4 linked regions of the Arabidopsis thaliana genome follow. The protein of the gene in region 4 binds, or shares a complex with, the protein of the main gene of each other region. Each region holds a gene or a part of one and is shown on either strand. Other genes may lie near its edges.

Region 1 (5,625 bases), on a different chromosome or scaffold from region 4:
GCCTGTGGACGAATGCGATTGCAGGGTTTGTTCAAGGAAGGATGGATTTTGTAGTGCTTGCATGTGTCTTGTGTGCTCAAATTTTGATATGGCATCCAACACCTGTAGCTGGGTTGGGTGTGATGTGTGCCTACACTGGTGCCACACAGATTGTGGGATAAAAGAGTCTTACATCCGGAATGGGATCAATGCTTCTGGTGCTCCAGGAATGACCGAGATGCAATTTCACTGTGTTGCCTGTAACCATCCCTCAGAGATGTTTGGCTTTGTCAAAGAAGTGTTTCTGAATTTTGCAAGGGAATGGAAATTTGAGCGCTTTTGCAAGGAACTGGAGTATGTCAATAAAATATTTTCATCAAGCAAAGACTCTAGAGGGAAACAGCTGAGACAAGCTGCTGATGCGATGCTGGCAAGTTTGAAAAGTAAATTGATAGGCCTTCCTGAAGCTTGCAATCGCATATTGGGTTTCATTTCAGGTGCGCGAAATTGTATAAATTGTGAGCTTTATCTGGGTATCAAATATGGCTTTATTAGTCTGTTTTAGTATAGATGATCACACAGTGAACACATGTTGGTTAAATTCTTGTGATATATGTGCCATAGATATTCCTTGTAACAATCTGTCGATACTTTGCCTGTTGATTGCAGACTGTGATTCCTCCACTCCTGCTGAAACTAGTGCACCGTTCATATACGAACAGCCAAAACCCAGGCATGAGAGGGGAAGCCCTAGTCAGGACACGGCGTGGCTGAGATCGGTGTGCTCAGATAACCCGCATAATCAGCTGAAAAGGTCAGCGAGCGTAGCTGATGCATTCCACAGAGAGAGGCAAGTTGAAATATGTGCAGTGGAGATGGAGTTGGAAAGGGGTTCACCAAAGGAACCTCGTTTCGAAGAGCTAGAGAGCATTGTGAGAATGAAGCAAGCAGAGGCAGAAATGTTCCAAGGGCGGGCCGATGATGCACGAAGAGAAGCAGAGGGACTGAAACGAATAGCAATAGCGAAGAAGGAGAAGATAGAAGAAGAGTACAATCGGAGAATGGGGAAGTTGAGTATGGAGGATGCACAGGAGAGAAGGAGGAGGAGGTACGAGGAGTTAGAGGCAATGCAGAGAGGGCAGAGAGAGTTTTATGAAATGAAGATGAGAATGGAGGAAGAGATGAGAGGGCTTCTCACCAAAATGGAAATGACGAAGCAGAGTCTGGCCTTGTAATATTTGTAGTAGTAAATCACATGTAATGTACACAGAAACCTCCTCCTCGTATGTAACCTAAAGATCAATGTAAGGTCTTTTCTTTTAGAGAGTACTAAAGAGTTCTGCGTCCTGACATGTACAGCCCCTTGCCAAATTTTAATAGGCAATAGTAAATAAATAACGACAAGAAGCAAATGGCCATCAAAGTGATACAAAGCAGTGAGGCGTGAAAAGATTACTAACAGACTAGACTTGGTGTTTCTCTTCTCTGTCTACACTGGCATTGCCCGTCTCCCAAAAGGACCCCATTTACAAATGGCGTTGTCGATTAGTTCGCAGTGGGAGGCTTGAAGTCTATCATCTCTCTTATGTTCAACTTGATGGAAGGCCCCATTGACGAGCATATGTGAGCGCTTTTCCAGTACACTCCTTTAGCTCCCTTTGGCTTGTTTGTCTCCACCGATTTCTGCATTTCATCATTTACTTTTCCCTCTTCATTTTTTTTTGTATTTTAAACCACAGAAATACGTAATAAGAATGGAGAATTAGCCTACCACTGCTGCAAGGAAGTTTATGAGAAGGTCTTCCTCTGTAAAATTAACTTTCCCAAATGGAATGTGAACAATCCCAGTTTTGTCTGCTCTGAATTCAACTTTCCCCTTCTTGAACTCTTCAATAGCCTGAGAGATTTATGCATCTTTAAGCCATGACTACCAGAATCAGGAAAAGATGTTGCAGAGTAGGCTTACCTGGGGAATGTTCGCTGTGACTGTACCAGCCTTGGGATTTGGCATGAGCCCCCGTGGTCCAAGAATCTTTCCCAGGCCAGCAACCTAAGCGCCAAGTTCAAGAATGTTAGAAAATAGATCACGAGTTACAAGTATCTCATGCCACCTTATTTGCCAAGCATGACGGTTTCATATGCTGTAACAAGTAGAACATTATATCATCAACACATACCTTGACCATCATATCCGGGGATGCAATCAGCTTGTCAAACTCCATGAAGCCTCCTTTAATCTGTTCGATTAAATCATCACTGCCCACAATATCTGCCCCTGCACTTTTGGCTTCATCAACCTTCTCACCTGGAAGTTCAGCATGGAAATGGTGCAAGCCAAAGATTTAGAAAGAATAAGCCACATGATACACAAGAACTCCATCCAATCAATATATAAATAAAAAGTCAATCGCACCAAACAATGTTGCATCTAGAGAAGTACTGACTGACTGACTGATACCGTAAACATTATCTCTGTCCTAAGTCCTAACAGTGAATTTGGTGACTGAAATGGTAAAGCATAATCTCTGTCCTAAGTCCTAGCAGTGAATTTGGTGGGGCAATATACCTTGTGCAAGAACAGCGACTATAACAGTCTGGCCAGTTCCCTTAGGCAGGCTCACCTATACAAAAAGACAATGCATTGAGATTAAAAAATGTTGTGGAATGAAGCAGCACAAGATAGAGTGTATATCCAGCAAAAGGCAAAGCAGACCGTTGCACGCAGCTGCTGGTCATTGTACTTAGGATCGATGTTGAGACGGAAATGGGCTTCAACAGACTCAACAAACCTTGTGTTGGCAGTTTGTTTAAGCAAAGAGATAGCAGTGTTGACATCATACTCCTTTTTGGTTTCCCTTAGCTTTTGGATTTCCAAAAACCTCTTAGACCTTGTCTGTCAATGGGTAAGCAAACAAAGTGATGATTCACGAGTAAAGGAAGCGAAATTGAAGTAGGTAAAGCACATACTCTATCTCTCTTGAGAACCAAAGCGGCTTTTCCTTTCTTAGGCTTGGGCGGATCAAGGACGGCGGTGGCGGTCTGCTCCAGGTCCTCCTCCGTGTCGAGGTCAGCCTCAGCGGCCACGGCGGAGACAATAAACTTGTGGTTGGAAGCTCTGTCAATAGCAGCACATCTCCGGTCCCTGGAACCCCCAAGGAGAAGAAGCGGGAAGCTCAAGTGGTTGGGTCTGGAGCTGGCAAAAGAGAAAAGAGATGGAGTAGGGGTAAGGTCCTGGGAACGAGTGGATGCGGCGGCGTATGCTAGCATGAGAGAGGAGTGAGTAGCGCAAGCAGCCATTGTTGGAGCTCTCTTTCTTTCTGGGTACAAAGAAGAAGAAGAAGAGTGCGAGTCTCCCTAATCCACTCCACGCCCAAGGGGATAACAACACCCCCTATTCTTTCTAAGCTATTATTCTCTGCGTGGCGGGCACCTTAGCTACCGTGTTCCTAGTGACACGTGTCTTCTTATGGACCATTAGATCTTTTAACAACCCACACGCGTATCCTCGTGACCTCTTCTCCTTCTCCTTCTTCTTCTTCCTTCTCTTTTCTCAAAAATCAGATTTCGAGTTTCTTCTTTCCCGCCCGTAAGAGAAACCCTACTCTGACTCTCCACTCCATTTGAGAGGTAAGTTCCGATTCCTTTTCTCTCAGCTTCAAATTTCCTGTGCTACTATTTCCCCAATTTCATTCATCTTCTGCTGACTCATTTTGGGTGTTTCACTGTAGACTGAGCTCGTTCCGATAAGGAGAGGAGATGTCTAACGTAACCGTCTGTGCGCGATTCAGGCCGCGAAGCTCTAAAGAGATGCGCGATCCCAGCAGAGATGGTGTCTGTGCTCGACCCATCGACGCTGAAACCTTCGTTTTCCAAGTTTGTCTACTCGACGCCGTGTGCTTGATTAATATTGTCTCTCTCTCTCTGTCTCTCAAACTCTATCTAGCGTTTTTACTTGCGTGTAGGATGACAAGGAAGATGAATTTACATTTAGCCTCGATAGAGTTTTTTATGAGGACTCTACCCAAGCTGCGGTTTATGAGTTTCTGGCTCTCCCCATCATGAGAGGTACTAATTGATTCCTTGATCTTCTCTTCTGGATTTTAGATCTAAACATTTGAGCACCAATCTTATGATTTTACAATGTAATCAACATTTTTGGTTTTGGTTTCCTCCTACCTTTGTCTTTTGCATCTTTTACCTTTGTACTACTACTACTACTTTCAGACGCTGTAAATGGTATAAACGGAACAATCATCACTTATGGACAGGTTTGTTCTTCTCCTGATCTCTTTTATCTGGAAATGCTTTCAATGTCTTTTTCTTAATTTGGCAGATTTTGATCTCAATTTGATCGTTTCATGTTATACTATGCAGACAGGGGCTGGGAAGACTTATTCCATGGAGGTCACCTAACTCATCTTGATACCTCTTCCTGTAGCACAAGGACCATTCCTTCTTCTGGCTCATTTTGGTTTTCTTCGATTGATTCAGGGACCAGGCATCCAGGACTGTGATGAGCACAATAAAGGACTTCTTCCAAGAGTGGTCCATGGGATGTTTGAGCAAATCAGCTCTTCCAATGATATTGCAAGATACACTGTTAAATTGTCTATGGTACTGACTTAAATGCACTTGCTATAAGTCTCCTTTCAAGCTCTCCTGTATAGACATCTTACGTGTCTTTTGTCTCCTCTAGGTTGAGATCTACATGGAGAAAGTCAGGTATTGTGTATGTAATTCCCTCTGATTTCTTCTAGGGTATATAGCTTATCGATAAATTCATATATCTCTCAGGGACCTGTTGGACTTATCAAAAGCAAACATACAGATCAAGGAGAACAAAACACAAGGAATACTCTTGTCAGGCGTTACAGAGGCTAGCTTCATTGTCTTATATCTTCTATTTGCTAGTGTTGAGAAAAATCTTTACTGGGTAGGCAAGTTTTAATCATTCGTTGCTTCAGGTGCCTGTATCAGATTCGGTGGAGGCATTACAACATCTATGCGTAAGATAGCAGCTACCCTAAGTTTCTTAATTGCCTTATACGGCCTTCTTCTTTCTTATTTCTGATGCCAATTGCCATTTCAGACCGGTTTAGCTAACCGCGCAGTTGGGGAAACCCGTATCCTCTTAGCTTTTACAGCACTTACTTGTTCAATGTTTCCCCATTTAGTCGATAGTGAGATTATGATTATGCTACTCCGAGTTGACTGAAAGGTTAAAACTGATTGAGAGTCATCTTGAAGAATGTTTCCAGTTTAACAATGAATGACAGAAATGAATATGTCCAGCAGTAGAAGCCACTGCGCCTACTTGTTCACAATCCAGCAGGATTCAGTTAAAGATAAAAGGTAACGATTTTTTACAATTAATCAGAAAAAAGTGATGCTGTAGTGGTGGAGCTTATATACATATCTGGCATGTGAACAGGGTAAAAACAGGAAAACTGATTCTTGTCGACCTGGCTGGCTCAGAGAAAGCAGACAAAACTGGAGCAGAAGGTAGGGTTCTTGAAGAAGCGAAGACGATCAATAAATCGCTCTCAGCCTTGGGGAACGTGATAAACGCTCTCACTAGTGGGCCATCTAGCAAAGGGAATCACATACCATATCGTGACTCCAAGCTTACTCGCATCTTACAGGATG
Region 2 (5,171 bases), on a different chromosome or scaffold from region 4:
TGGAACATCCTCACAATGGGATTCTTCTCATTTGTTCTTCTTATGAAAATGGTTGTCGACCTTACATGTGCGACACTAGCCATCGGCATTCTAACTGTTTCGATCAGTTCCGCAAAGCTTCTAAAGAGAAACCTTCTTTGTCTTTACTTCGTGAGGAAGAGGAAAGTAATGAACCAACTGAGATGGAAGATGTGGATTCAGACTCAACTGCTGTAAATCTATTAGGAGAAGCTGCATCTGAGATAACAGTTGTGGATTTAAGTGATGGTGAGAGAGGAGAAGAAGAAGTAGAAGAAGAAGAAGAAGAAGTAGTAGTAGAAGAAGAAGAAGAAGGAATTGTAACAACAGAAGAAGATCAAGAAAAAAACAAACCACAAAAGCTTACTTGTCCGTTATGTCGTGGACATATAAAAGAATGGGTAGTTGTTAAAGCAGCTCGATGTTTCATGAACTCAAAACATAGAAGCTGTTCTTGTGAGACTTGTGATTTCAGTGGAAGCTATTCCGATCTGAGAAAGCACGCAAGGCTTCTACATCCAGGAGTTAGGCCATCAGAAGCAGATCCAGAGAGACAGAGAAGCTGGAGGAGGCTAGAAAGGCAGAGCGATTTAGGGGATTTACTTAGCACACTCCAATCTTCTTTTGGAGGAGATGAAATAAGTAACGATGATGGGTTTCTATTTGCTGATACTCGCTTGCTTACAGTGTACTTTCTCATCCGCGTGTTTAGACCAGAATCGAGTGGCTCAAGGAGTAGTAGCTGGTCTGGTACATCTAGAGCTAGGACACATACAAGTGGGAGAAGAAGATCTTCAAGACCTGCAAGTCTTTGGGGAGAGAGCTATGAAGGTAATACAGGAACATCACCTAGAGATGAGGAGAATAATCAATCTTCTGATGAACAAGTGTCTGGAACTCGGAGACGTCGTTCTAGAAGAAGAACTGTCATTGATGATGATGATGAAGAAGAAGAACCGTGATGCTCTGCAGTTTGGAAATTTGGTCTTTGGAGTTTATGATAAAATGGGGGAAACCTTGTAGTAATAACCCCACTTATGAAACCCTATTATGTAAAATTTCTTTGGAGATTGAAAAAAGTTTCTACTATTGGGAAACAAAATGTTCAATATTTCATTACCGTTTAAATATCTTTTTGATAATGACTCTTCAAACAACAAAATGTAAATCTCTTCACCATACAAAAAGACAAAGGAATTGTAATTAACATTTGTCATAGACAATTATCTTCTCTGCAGCTTTACAACACTAAAAAGAGCTTGAAACTGAAGTAATTTAAGCAGAGGCTGCTGGCTCTGAAGTTGCTGCTTCTGCTGCTGCAGCTCTCTTCTTGGCAAAGTATTCATCTGCTCGTGCTTGGTTCTTTGCAACAGATGGCTTAACCCATTTCTTTCTTCCCGGCAACACAGTGAGTGTACAACCTGAAGCTTCAAGCTTCTCTTTTGCTTGTGTTGAGAAGGCACGAGCTTTGAAGGTGAGCTTCATGCTTAGTTCTCCTGTACCCAGAATCTGAAATCCAAGACCAATCAAAACGTTTAAATAAAGAAAGAAAAGACGAAAGCACAATCGAAAGAAGTAGGATCAACAAGTTTGGAAAACTAACCTTAAGAGGGAGTTTCCTTTCTCTCCCTGAAGGATTAATCAAACCCTTTTGCTTCAATGTCTCCAATGACACTTCATCTCCCTCTTGAAACCCAGCTGTTTCTATGTCTTTGATATTAACCGGTAAGTATTTAGGTAATCCTGAACGCATACCTGTTTAAAGAACACAGTAACGCAACGATGCATCAGAAATATATCTCTATTGGTTTGAGCTAATTAGCAAAATCGAACCATGAAATATCTCTATTCACTAACTACAATCTTGATCCATAGTTGTCAATTCATGGCTCTCTTACCCAATATTAAATCTATGAAACAAATGTGCCCTAACTAAATAAAACTGAAAGCAGCATCACCAAATTTAAACAGAGCCTTTTGGATGAGACATTTCATCGAACATTTGGGCTACACAAAACTTGGATACCAAACAAAAACAAAACTTTACCTCCAGCGATTCCTCTAAGTTTGGGAAGACGACGATAAAGAGCAGTTTGACCACCTTCAAAGCCTCTCATAATCCCAGGACCCGATCTTGATTTCTGACCTCTCATACCAAAACCACAACTTGCTCCTTGTCCTGCAGAGATACCTCTACCTTTTCTCTTCTGCTTCTTCCTCGAACCTGGCTGTGGTCCAAGATTATCCAAACGGAATCTCTCCGGAGCTACAACTGCCGACGACGTAGCCGCCGTTTGGCTAACCACAACAAGGGGTCTCGCAAATTGCTGTTGGTTTCTCGTTTTAAGGGTTTGGTTGAGTTTCAGAGATAGAATCTGACTTGGGTTTGCCCCCAAAACACTTACATTTCCCTGTACACATTTCAAATTCCAATTTTACGGATTCATTCAAAATTGACATTTGTAGAAGAATGAGAGATTACCTTGAATGAAGTAGAAGATAAGTGGAGACGGTAACAATGGCGGGAGGTGAGAGGATTTGATGAGATTGAGAGTGGAGTAGCCATGGTCACAGGGAACAACAGATGAAACAAAGCTTCAAGGATAAGGTTGAGGAAGATAGATAGAGAGAGATAACTTTCTTGAGAAACTTAAGAGTTAAACGACATCGTCTTACATAATCACTTAATTGTTTATTGGGCCTTTCACAGCAAATTTAGGCCTTTTCGTTTTCAATAAAAGAGTCGTTACTCGTTCGTATCAATTCGTTTGTGTCCAAAGTGGGTTTTCAGATAAGCTCATGTCTGAATTAGTCGGGATGATCAAGACACCAGTGCCAATAAAAGAAACGATAAGAAATTATAGTATTTATACTAACTTGATATATATAAACACAAATATTTATACACATAACACAATTATAAGTTCAAACTACAACCCCAAATCAACACCTGAAACTACAACCCCAAATCATTACACAATCTCAATTAACCACATAGAAAATTATATATATTGGTGAATTTTGTAACTTCCTTAATCTTTAATCTTTGCGAAGTCTTTTCTTCACGACAAGAAGAGAACAATCTGTATTTTGTGTACACCTGCATTTAATTAAAAGATGTTTGTTATCTCAACTTTTCCATCAATACTAAGTTTTTTAACTGATATTTTGAAATTAAAAGATGTTTCTTACTTTTTGAGACTTTGTTGATCGCTCGTAACTATTAAATTGATATTTCGTTCTTGAATTATCTTGCGGATTAGATCTTTAGGGTCTCCATCATCAGTAAATGTCTCTGCCTTGATCTGTTTTCAACATGATTATGATGAGATCATGAGACTAAAATATTGCAACAAATGGTTGTCATGAAAAGAACTTCATTTTTTTCTTTTAAAACTTTGGTATTTAAAAATATATATATGATATTGTATTAATAACAAGTTAAATGATTCAGTCAATAGATTATTACCCCATGATTTAAACATATCTTCTTGGCTTTCTCTAATATACCCAAAGCAATTTTCATATTCTTTTCTTGAGCCAATCTTATGAGTTCTGAATCTGCAAAACACACATAAAAACTGATCAATTTTCAACAAAAGAAAGTACTAGGTGAAAATGGATAGAAAATTTGATATTTATTGAAAACTCCCAACAAATTAGTCGATAAAATGACTTACTAGGTGAAAATGGATAGAAAATTTGAGCAAAGCCGACTGATGAAGAAAGTACGGTAGGAGGAGTAAAGGAATTTTGTGGCTGTTTTGCAAAGATATAAACTTTGGAGCTCTCAATGGTATCTTTTTGGTTTTCAAGTGCCCAAATGAGTAAATCATAACTTGCGTTGCTCTCGTCAATAATCAGCATAACATTCTTCATCTTCTCTCTTTGTTTCTTCTTCTCCTTTCTTCTTCTAGCTTCTGCTAAAACCTCTTGTCAATGTGCAACTTTATAGTATATTTGGAAGTGGATTAACTTGTCAAAGGAAGTAATATAAAAAAAAATCTTAGGTGATTGGGTAATTGAAAGGCATGGGTTAACGACTTGATTCTGGCTTCTTCTCGTTTGCAAAATAAAATAAAATTATACACACAAGTAATACTATATTAAACCCGTGTGTAGTGGCAAAGTAGGTTTGGATTAGAACCAAAAGCGTAAAATCGCTATAACTTCAAGTTCAATCCCACAATATGCAATCATTTAAAGAAATTACATAACGATTTATAGTGATTTAATCTCCATGTTATATCACTTGATCATTTAGATTTCGGTTCAGATTCTGCTTAACTTGTGATGAGTTTGCGGAAAACGTTTTACTGAAATTTTCAAAAGACTAGTCATATGCTTATTCAAATTAGGATAGAGACAATGCTAAGTCTAACAAAAAAACATTTGTATATCAAAAAAGAAAACAATCGAATAATATGATCTCATTCTACAACATATTACCAATTCTCCATTGAAATATTCCATTAATAAAATGGTGTGAGTGGACCGGTGTTTGGTAACTGCCGGATACACGCCATTGATGACATAAAACATTATTCTCTTTGTCGGAATTTTTAATCATAATTAAATATCATTAGAGAGAGTTGGTAAAAGAAAAGACATAATTAGCTAAACGGGCTAAAATGAAAAGTTAATGGGCCAAACAGACATATATCCAGCCCATTATAATCTCTGCATCTCCTACCTCTGAATCCCAAAAACCCTAGCGATTTTTTTCTTCTCTCCCGAGACGCTCTGTGATAGCGAAAGCATCTGTTGTAATCTAAGGTACTCGATGATTCTCCTTTTCCATTTTAGTTCTCATTTGAAGTATATAGAACTGTAAAAATTTGTTAAAGTTATAATTTTGGGTTTTAACGGAATTTAAAGTCTCGAACTTTCGATTCTGAGTATGATTTTGATGCTCATAGTACTACTCTTGAAATTTTAGATGATGTTAATGGAGATATTTAGCTTAAAGATGCTTACTTTACTCATCTGTTGAGCATAGGATCGTCTTAATCTTTTTACTCATTACTTGTAAATTTCTTCAAGCAATTGAGACATGTAGAGATGAGTTATGTTTTTTTCTTTTTTGGTGTCATTGTGTTAAAGGTTCTGTAATGGAGAAATCTAGAGAAAGCGAGTTCTTGTTCTGTAATTTG
Region 3 (5,142 bases), on a different chromosome or scaffold from region 4:
AACGCACGTAATAACGCACCATAAAAAAACATGTATATATTAGTTAAGAAAACTATTTTAAGCCAAATACGTTCATTTTAACAAAAAAAAATATTATATAACAAACACGTAATAACGCACCATAAAAATACACTCCCGATATAATGTGCTTATAATAAACAGATTTTCTTAATTAAACAAGATTAAACCAAACAAATACAAATATAATATCAAAAATAAATAGATATAAAAAGTAAGATGATAAATTCAAAATATAACTTGATTATTTAAATATAGATGATATAGAATTAAAAAAATAATATAATTTCTAACGTAAATAATCAACCCGTGGTATACCGCGGGTCAATATCTAGTTAGTAATAGATAAATTTAGCATTTAGTTGCTTTTAAAGAAATTTAAATAAATTTCTGTAAAAATTAATTAAAAATAGTAGCCAGCATGGAAATTTTTTCATATTTTCATTTGCCAACTGGCTGATAAAAAAGGTTCTGTTAATAAAATTAAGCTGTTTATTTATTTTACTATTTAATAATCATTTCTCAGATTTTAAACCTAGTCTATATAATAACATTATTTTGAAGACTAATATTATATTTAAAAGGACAAGAAAAATATCGAAAATATTATGAAATCTCTGAAATTTAAGTTAGAAAGTAAACTGGAATCTCATAAACTAAATGAATATATATTTTACTCTATTTTAAAGCATATATTTTTAATAGTCAAGTAGTCATTATTTAGTTATTTATAAATTATCTTAACCTATATATTTTTGGTAAAGGGTTTTGTTGCACCAAACTTAAAAAAAAAAAGGTTTGCAAAACTAGTAAACCAAACTCGGACCTAATCAACCACAAGAGTAAGAAAGCAAAAAATTACAACCCAACATGTATATAGCCTTCACATGTTGTGCCACTGAAGTGAAAAGTTACAACCCAACATGTATACAACCAAACTAATAATCGGAGACAATCTATCTTTTGCATATATATAATAAAAAAAACTCATTTCTCAATTCCTCATCAGAAAATCACCATAATACATCTCACACTATTGGTGCACATAATGTCTTTTACTAGAAAATCGCAACAACATATCAAAATTTTGTCAAAAACATATCAAAAAACACCATAATGTCTTTCATGTGTTTGTGCCTTTGCGGACGGAAAAATGTTATGGACGGTCCCGTCCATTTTCAAAATCTCAATATCAATTTCTGTATTTCTGTATTGTGTCCACTGAAGTGGTAGAAGTTGTTTTATTCTATAAAATTCATTAGTATGCGTAGATTGATGGATGAGCTATATTGAAGTTTTCATACACTAACTTAGAATTTGTGATCAAAGAATGGCAAAAGGTACATATTAATAAAAGGAATCTCAGCAGAAATGAAATGACCAGGGTCCTTACAAAATTACATAGAGAAGATCAGAAAAATTTTAACATTCAAGAAACATTTTGTGTCAAAGATTTACTTCTCCAACTGCAACATTGGGCGAGGCTGGATACTCTTCATACCCTGTGATTCCGGTAATCCTAATCCTCGTATTCGGCTACAATATCAACACATAAGTCACAACATAAGTGTCATTACTTCAAAGAGATTTCAGTTTCATCAGCCATAGCAAATTACAACAAGTAACTGATAGTAGTCTGTTGATTGTAACATTACATAGTTCAAATATAAGGAAGAGGACTTTCAGCAATACCTGTCTGTGACCGATATTTCTACGGTACTTCTTCTTAGGCTTGTACTTGAAGACTACCACTTTATCATTCAAACCCTACAACAACAAATGACATTCCGGTTATTCCAAGTTTAGAGGCGACTACATAGTCGAAAATACAAAACCACCAATCAGAAATTTAAGAAATCGTTTGTATTGACTTACTTGACTTTCCACAACAGCATGTACAGTGGCATTGGTCACAACCGGCTTGCCAATGTAAGTGTGTGTCTTTGTTCCAACAAGCAACACTTTGTTGAGAACAATCTGCACAAGAGAAAAAACAAAATATGAAAACTTCAGGAATCACCAAAAATGCAACAGAGAACAGCTTAACACAATGTTAACATAGGCAAAAGAATAGAACTTCTACACAAGCCACAAAGTTTACTCAATCTTCCATAGTTACATCATCTTTTCACAGATATACCATTTCGTACACAGAGTTTTTTACAAAGAAGAACACATCACATAGTCATTGAAAGCAAATGTGCATATACCTGGTCATCAACATTTGCATCTTTTAGCCTCTGAGTGTAGAGATATCTCCCTGGAAACACTATGTATTGGCGTCCACCAACCTATTCAAACCAAAGAGAACAACACTAAGCTAAATCAGAGATTGCAAATGAGAGAAACAAAATCAATTATAACAAAGCCAAACTCTAAACCTTGAAGAGTATATGCCACAAAAACACAATCTCTCCCTTAAGAAGTCAACATTCGTTAAACCTAAACCCTAAATCTTAAGAGTAGATACCACAAAAACACAGTCTCTCATTATCAAAACTCTAAAATCAAATTCATCAATCAACCAAACCTAATTCCGAATTCCAAAAGCTAAACACCGAAATTGAGAATTTGTTGTTTCGTATGATTCAACAAGCTCACCATAATAACAGCGAAAATCTCTTCTCGTTTAGCTTTTTCCTCAGTAACCTCCGAAACATCGGAAACCACCACAGCTTCGATATCGGTAGTCTCCGGTTCAGCTTCGACGACTGATTCCGCGAATTTCGGAGCGACGGTGAATGCGGTTCGAGACGTCGACGCAGTGGAAGGAGAAAGAAATCCAGTCAGAGGTTTAGCCAAATTAAGCGAAGGTTTAGAGAGAGAACAGAGGATAGTGCTAGAACGGCGAGAATTGACATTGCAATGAGCAGAGAAAGTAGAGCAGAGAGAGAGCGTCGCTGAAGAAGACGCCATTGTTTTCGACTGAGAGAGAGCTCTAAGCTCGAGACTTTGGAGCTCGACGGAGAATAAATCCGCAGTGTTATCCTATCCACTTCCTTTGAAAATTACCATTGTACCCCTGTCTTCAAATTGGTTTAATTTCTAAGCTTGCAATTTCGGTTTACCGGTTTATTTCGGTTCAGATTTTGGGTTTTCCAATTAAGTAATATATTATATACACATCAATTTTGGTTTTGTTCGATTTTTGACAAAAATTATAATTCTAACTACTCTTAATCTCTTTATAGTGTTTAGTGTATTTAAATGTACTTTATATTTAATTAGTTATATTAATTCTGAATATTGGTTAATTACAAATTCACCAAATTTGGTTTCAATTTGAGATTTGGTCTGGGTTGTTATAAGAATTTAGATTTGGTTTGGGTTGTTATAAGAATTTTCTACAGTTTCACAGTTTGTATTATAACAAAATTACTTATGAAATCCGATTTTGGTTCGGTTCGGTTTCTTTTCGCCATCCCTAAATCACATTTCTTTGGAATTCAAAAACTTTTATATGAAGCAAAAATTATCCATATGAGGATAAAAATTTAGAAAGTTGCTCATGTACAAAAATAAAAAGGAAAGCAAAAAACAAGCCAGAATATATTTTTGTATCCTTAGAAATTAGAATTCAAAATATAAACGAAATTAAAGAGAAAAAAAACAGAAATTGTGGAAGAATGATGAGTCAGTCATCAGATTTTTCACCATCAACTCCAAAAGCATCAGCAATGTTGAAGTTCAAGTTCTTCATCATGGTTCTGCTTCTCCCAACTCCATCTCCTTTCCTCATCATTGCTGTAAACTCCGAGAAATCGATCTTCCCGTCCTACATAATTCAAAAGCTCTCGGTTATAGTAAAGTAACATTGAAGAAGGAGGTAAACAAAGAGAAGAAGAAGAAGAGTGGTTTACATTGTCAAGATCAATCTCCTTGATCATGTCGTCCAGAGGTGTATCACATAGACCAAACTCTGTGCAAGCTGACTGAAGCTCATCGATGGTGATATAACCGCTTCCGTCTTTGTCAAAGTACGAAAATGCAGCCACCAGATTCTCCTCTCTCTCCATCTTGTTCATGTGTAAGGTTGCTGCTAGGAATTCTCCGTAGTCTATTGTACCACTGTTGTCGATATCAGCCTGTGACCACAACACACAGAGGATGTTAAACGGAAACAAAAGTTTTTGAAAAGAGGAAAGAGTTTGTTTTGGTTCTTTCATACCGCATCCATGAGAGACTTGATTTCTGATTCCATCAGTTCAGATCCGACTCTCTTCAAACCCGCTTTGAGCTCTTCAAAAGTAATCGTTCCGCTGTTGTCTGTGTCTATCATCTTGAACAATTCCTTCAGACCTCCAATTTCTTCCTCTGAAAGTCTCTCAGCAATTACCTGTGTTCAGAGAAATCAGCATACGGATTGGACATAAAGAAAAAGCGAATGTATATTACTCGAATTCATACCCGTAATGCCATTTTCTTAATCTTATTCATTTGAGAAAACTGCTTTAGACGAGATAAGACTGCTGGATCAAGAGGCTTGTCTGGTGCTGCTTGTTCATCGACAATCCATGGGTGACCTATATAACATTCAGAGCAAACTCAATACTCATTATTTACCATAAAAACAATTCACAACAGTTGCTAATTCCAAATGAACAACAAAGAATGAACATACACAAGGCTTCATGAGCAGAAATGCGTTTCTTGGGGCTCCTTTCGAGCATTTTATAGATCAAATCTTTAGCAGCTTCTGAGATAGTAGGCCACGGGTCAGATTTGAAATCTAACTTCCCTTGCAATATCTGTCTAAAGATTCCAGACTCAGTCTCTGCAATGCCCAAGAGAAAAGAATACATCATTCAAACAAAAACTCGAAACTTGTAAATAGAAAAGACTCTACTTTTTTAGTAGACTAACCTGCCCAGAAGGGAGGAACACCGCTGAGTAAAATGTAGAGGATAACACCAGCACTCCACACATCTATTTCAGGTCCATAACATTTCTTTAGCACCTCTGGTGCAACATAGTACGGACTTCCAACTACGTCATATAAATATTGTCCTGAAGAAGCAAACAAAAACCAATTAGCCGATAAACTGGCATTAATGAGAAGGTTCAAGCCAGACACACAAATGCAGAATAATTTCGATCTACACATTAAGTTTCAGAGACTCCTCA
Region 4 (4,424 bases):
ATTCCTCAAGAAATACATTGCTACTTTCAAGTTCAAGTCAATCGATACAAACACATTTCTTGAATTCCTGAAAGCAAACATCCCTGGCATAGAGAAAGAGATCAATCTACAGCTGTGGACTGAGGGCGTTGGTATACCAGAGGATGCATATGAACCAGTCTCAACCATTTACACAAAGATCATATCCCTGGCGAAAGAGTTTAAGGAAGGAAAGATGCCAAGTGAGGATGATGTTGCTGAGTGGAACGGACAGGAATGGGAGCTGTACTTGGAGAATCTTCCTAAATCATGTGAACCTTCTCAGGTACTCTTTACTCCTTTCTTCCTCTAAGTTAATGGGAGCTGTACTTGGAGCTGTACTTGCTGAGTGAATCTTTATTTCTTCCTCTAAGATAATGGGAAATGGCTTGACTTAGGTTGAACTACTCAATAAGCTTACATAAGGAGGAGAAAAAGGCCTAACTAACTGTCAGTTAGGTTAGCTCAATAGTTACTCTTGGATTAATGTGGGGCTAGTGAATAATGATTGTGGAAAAACCCTCTTGGCTTTGGGAGAGTTCATGATTGTGGAAAGTGTATTGGCTTTGCAAGAGTTAGGATCTTATCTTGTTTGTTAATGACAATGCTAGTCAACAAAGGAAGGATTGGTGATCAGGTTCAAACCTATGGCTAACACCCACTTTGCTCATTGATGAATCAGGTCATGGCCTTGGACAAGCGGTACAGACTGGCAGAATCGAAAGACTATGAAGTGAAGGTCTCGTTTCTGCAACTTGCAGTCACATCCAAGTGCAGAGAGTACCATGGGGAAGTGAAGAAAACACTAAAAGAGGTAGGAAGGATGAAGTACCTGCGTCCACTCTTCACTGCTCTTGCACAATCTGGTGGAACAGAAGAGAAGCAGCTGGCAAAACAGGTGTTTGCAGAAGCTCGAGAAACTTATCACCCCATAGCTCAGGGAGTTGTTGAATCTATCCTCTCTAAGTACATCTAAACAAGACCGTTATGATAGCTTGAGAGCACTCCGAAAAACAACATTTCAATAAAACTCAGTCACTGTAATAACAATTGGTGCTTGAGAGAGTCATAAACAAAAAATTGAATTGCCTTTTGTTGCGTACATTACATTCTCCAAAAGATTAGTACAAGCTTAACTATGCATTACTCTCATCTTCCAACTTCTTAATGTAAGCCATAAGCACCATTATAACCTCTCTTGCTGGTGCTTGTAAAGTAGTGACGAGATTAATAGCCGGAGATTGCAGAGCACCGAGCATCTTAGCGTAGACCTCAGCACGAGTGGGCATGGTCTCGAGGACTTTGAAATTGTCAGGAGCGTAGAACTTACCTTCGAAGACAGCGCCGGCAAAGTCATTGTTTTCAAGCTTGCGTTCCTTCTGGAAGCTCCGGTAGGGTTTGATAGCAGAAGGGATTTCATCGGTCTGGACGAAAAGCCAAGCGTTCATGCCTTTCATACAAGGCTTGAGAGCTTCCCATTTGGTGCCTTCAATGGCTTTGAAGACCAAAGTGTTCTTGGCGACGATGAGCTTTGTAGTGTCGGGGAGAGTTCTCCGGAGGTCTTGAAACTGCTTGACGGTGAGGCCTTTGTAGTTGATGGCGGCGAGGAGATGGCAGTTCTCCAAGTGAGACTTGACGGCTTCGACAGTCTCTTCCTTCTTGTTACGAGACACCGCGGATCTGATGACCGGGAGGCGAGGGTAATTTGGGGAATTCGAGGTTTTGGGTGTGAGAGTTGAGATTCGCTGGTGACAGAGAGGAGACAAGGAAGAAGAGAAGGAGAGAAGAGCCACTTCCATTTTTTTGCTCAGAAGATGAGGAGACTGTTTCTAGCTGTGTGGAGGAAGAAGATAGATGAACAACAACACAATCCTCCACTAAGCAATTTTATTTTTTTATTTTTCTTAAATGGAAAATAAAATTTATGGATAAAAAAAGGGTTAATAGACGGAATTAGTAACTCCGTCTAATTTAACGCATTGTGTCTTTTAGTCTCTGCTTCTGAATTCTGAACGCAATCCATTGGTAAACTAATCAAATAACTAGACCCAAAATAATTCTATTTTCTTTCTCGGAATTATGGAAGATGTCTCGTCTCGTGTCAAACAAATAATTTTGTAATTTACTACTCAAGTTCATAATTTAACCATTACAAGAAAAAACAGACAAGAAGGGAAGTAAAGGGAGAAGGAAAAAAAAATTAGGCAAAATATTGTTGCTGTATGGATTTGTCCCTATGGTTTGTGTTTTGTGTGTGGATGTGAGTTAGAGAGTGTCCCAATTAGGGATAGTCGCAGTAGCTTCATTCACCATCTTCACAAGTGTCACCTGCACCATCACACAATATGTTATTAAGGACAGTCATTCAATATTACGGTTCTCACTCTCACACTTGATTGACCACAAGCAAAACCGTAACTCCTGAAGATATTACAACTACTTCTAACAGACTTATGCATATCATCTCCCCGGAAAGTAAAACCATTGCAAATTCACAAACTACATCAAACTATGGACGACCATTTGTGTATGACGTTGCTATTTAGTCTCCGGAATCCACTAAACCAATGGACATGATACAAATAAGTTCCCCTTTGAGCTATGAATGGACCTTACTGCAGTATCTTGTTTTAAGCACGATCAGATTATAGAGGTTTATATATAACATACCACACTTTCGGGAACACCGGGAGGCGGCAAGGACATGTTCCTTGGAGGAGGACCCCGCAAATGTGATCTCTTATCGAATCGCCACTCTCCTATTTTGCCATATGTCAGCTCCCCCTGTATTTAACAGTCAGCAAAACTTAGTAGTGACTAAAAAGAGAACCTAATGACCTTAAGTAAAAACAAATGACCACAAGATGTGAAATCTGTTCCTAATTTATCAGCCAAAAATTAAAATTAAACAATCGTGTCAAACAGAAAATCACCTTCATGTTGTAGTCGCATCCATAAGTGTAATGAATGATAAACTTCCCCTTGGTAGACAAATCCCACGGAGGCTGAAAGATATTGTGAGAGAACTTAGGAATATGGAGCAGAGAAACAACTTTTGTAACTTTGACAAAACAAAAGTATCTTCGACATAGAATATGTTATCACTAAGGTATCAGCACAAGGTCGATTCTTACCTGAAGCATGAAATCCTTCCGAAGTATGTGACGCACCCCATGTATAGCAGATGCAATTGCGTAACCGTACCTTATCAAACAGAAAAGAGAAGAATAAAGTAGTCAGTTAACAATGATGGGATTCAAAAGGTGGAGAGCCAATTCATGATTTAAGATTCTTGTTTCTTGTGCTAACATTTCCAGCACCCATCCAAATGCCTTATCAGTTTCTGGATCGTTTTTCATTGTCAGCGAGACATTCATCCATGTAGGAGCAATCTTTTCAAGTGATTCCTGCATCAGAAAGTAAATGCATGTCAACATCAATTTTAATGCATGAACAGAACAAACAGAACATATTCCTGGACACCAACATCACATCTAGCTAAACGCCTCTGAAAATCTTTGGGGCCCAAGTCAAATAACACATATACAAACAGTATAGCACAGATAATCTCACCTTGCTTATGATAACAGGAGAGTTGCCAATGGGGTCGATATTTGTTACTGGCCCCATCTCCGCTGGATAATACTTTCTGACTATGTTTTCATACTTTTCAGGAGTAATATAGAAAAACGGAAAAGCGGCTGGGAATCCTCCAACAGCCAAATTGGGAAGGGGATTAACAAATACATGATCAGGCTCTGCCATGAGCACATAGCTGCACCAACAGTAAGATGCAGGAGATTTAGCAAACAGTAGAATGTTAGTTGGAAGGAAGAGAGAAATGACAGGACTTACTCTTCCTTGATGGTAGCTCTTTCAAGCCATTGCACGAATGCCCATGGTCTATTCAAGACAACATACCCCTAAATACAAGATTACAAGATTACAAAAAAGAGTGAATCAGTGATAAACCATCAACAAAAAGTGAGACCAAATGGAGAAACGGGAATAAAATAAAAATTCTTACCCGATCAAGACCTGGAGGAAGAGGATCAACCACAAATGTGGGTATTTCATCCATCAAGTTATCAGAATTACCGGAATGCAAAATACGGGTGAAGCCACCCATATCAGAACCAGGAAGAGCTTTCTTCTGCTTATACCAATAATACATAATACGACACTGCCACTTATTATAAGGTGCATCTGTAGCTGTTAAGGCAACATGAAAAGGTGCTGGAGAACTCTTGGCTTTCCTAATATTTAGAGGCATCTGAACAACAGGATCCAGAAGTGGACTTCCATCTGAATTACTCACACCAGATCTATTGTGAACTATAAGTGTCAGAAGATTATATGTGACAACAAAGAACCCAAAACCCAAGAGAAACAGAAGCAAGCCTGAT

What was found.
Region 1: EMB3136 (region 4) and EMB3126 share a complex: the UniProt entries of both Arabidopsis thaliana proteins name them as parts of the 50S ribosomal subunit.
Region 2: EMB3136 (region 4) and RPL15 share a complex: the UniProt entries of both Arabidopsis thaliana proteins name them as parts of the 50S ribosomal subunit.
Region 3: EMB3136 (region 4) and RPL21C share a complex: the UniProt entries of both Arabidopsis thaliana proteins name them as parts of the 50S ribosomal subunit.

What each region holds. Positions count from the first base shown.
Region 1 is NC_003074.8:23,441,920-23,447,544, reverse strand, and holds EMB3126 (Ribosomal protein L1p/L10e family), read right to left. Parts: upstream 3,343-5,625; 5' UTR 3,277-3,342; coding exon 2,947-3,276; intron 2,873-2,946; coding exon 2,693-2,872; intron 2,601-2,692; coding exon 2,546-2,600; exon of another isoform or gene 2,285-2,545; coding exon 2,157-2,284; intron 2,030-2,156; coding exon 1,946-2,029; intron 1,877-1,945; coding exon 1,751-1,876; intron 1,663-1,750; coding exon 1,525-1,662; 3' UTR 1,215-1,524; downstream 1-1,214. Other genes in the region: TTA2 (fibronectin type III domain protein (DUF1423)), read left to right, coding at 1-476, 649-1,214; AT3G63480 (ATP binding microtubule motor family protein), read left to right, coding at 3,736-3,852, 3,942-4,044, 4,204-4,247, 4,354-4,383, 4,471-4,593, 4,676-4,701, 4,774-4,867, 4,944-4,985 and 3 more. UniProt on the Arabidopsis thaliana protein: This protein binds directly to 23S ribosomal RNA.
Region 2 is NC_003074.8:9,489,975-9,495,145, forward strand, and holds RPL15 (ribosomal protein L15), read right to left. Parts: upstream 2,682-5,171; 5' UTR 2,585-2,681; coding exon 2,501-2,584; intron 2,430-2,500; coding exon 2,066-2,429; intron 1,774-2,065; coding exon 1,622-1,773; intron 1,528-1,621; coding exon 1,294-1,527; 3' UTR 1,081-1,293; downstream 1-1,080. Other genes in the region: AT3G25910 (MAP kinase kinase kinase, putative (DUF1644)), read left to right, coding at 1-980; AT3G25930 (Adenine nucleotide alpha hydrolases-like superfamily protein), read right to left, coding at 3,058-3,118, 3,211-3,323, 3,488-3,579, 3,699-3,897; AT3G25940 (TFIIB zinc-binding protein), read left to right, coding at 5,130-5,171.
Region 3 is NC_003070.9:13,206,569-13,211,710, reverse strand, and holds RPL21C (Ribosomal protein L21), read right to left. Parts: upstream 3,029-5,142; 5' UTR 2,935-3,028; coding exon 2,620-2,934; intron 2,310-2,619; coding exon 2,229-2,309; intron 1,996-2,228; coding exon 1,894-1,995; intron 1,786-1,893; coding exon 1,711-1,785; intron 1,555-1,710; coding exon 1,465-1,554; 3' UTR 1,283-1,464; downstream 1-1,282. Other genes in the region: CDPK2 (calcium-dependent protein kinase 2), read right to left, coding at 3,653-3,793, 3,879-4,103, 4,187-4,354, 4,426-4,541, 4,640-4,792, 4,882-5,025. UniProt on the Arabidopsis thaliana protein: This protein binds to 23S ribosomal RNA in the presence of protein L20.
Region 4 is NC_003076.8:4,338,687-4,343,110, reverse strand, and holds EMB3136 (Ribosomal protein L10 family protein), read right to left. Parts: upstream 1,850-4,424; 5' UTR 1,818-1,849; coding exon 1,155-1,817; 3' UTR 1,016-1,154; downstream 1-1,015. Other genes in the region: AT5G13520 (peptidase M1 family protein), read left to right, coding at 1-304, 701-994; AT5G13500 (Hyp O-arabinosyltransferase-like protein), read right to left, coding at 2,284-2,346, 2,689-2,802, 2,952-3,023, 3,153-3,222, 3,328-3,425, 3,592-3,793, 3,874-3,941, 4,046-4,424. UniProt on the Arabidopsis thaliana protein: This protein binds directly to 23S ribosomal RNA.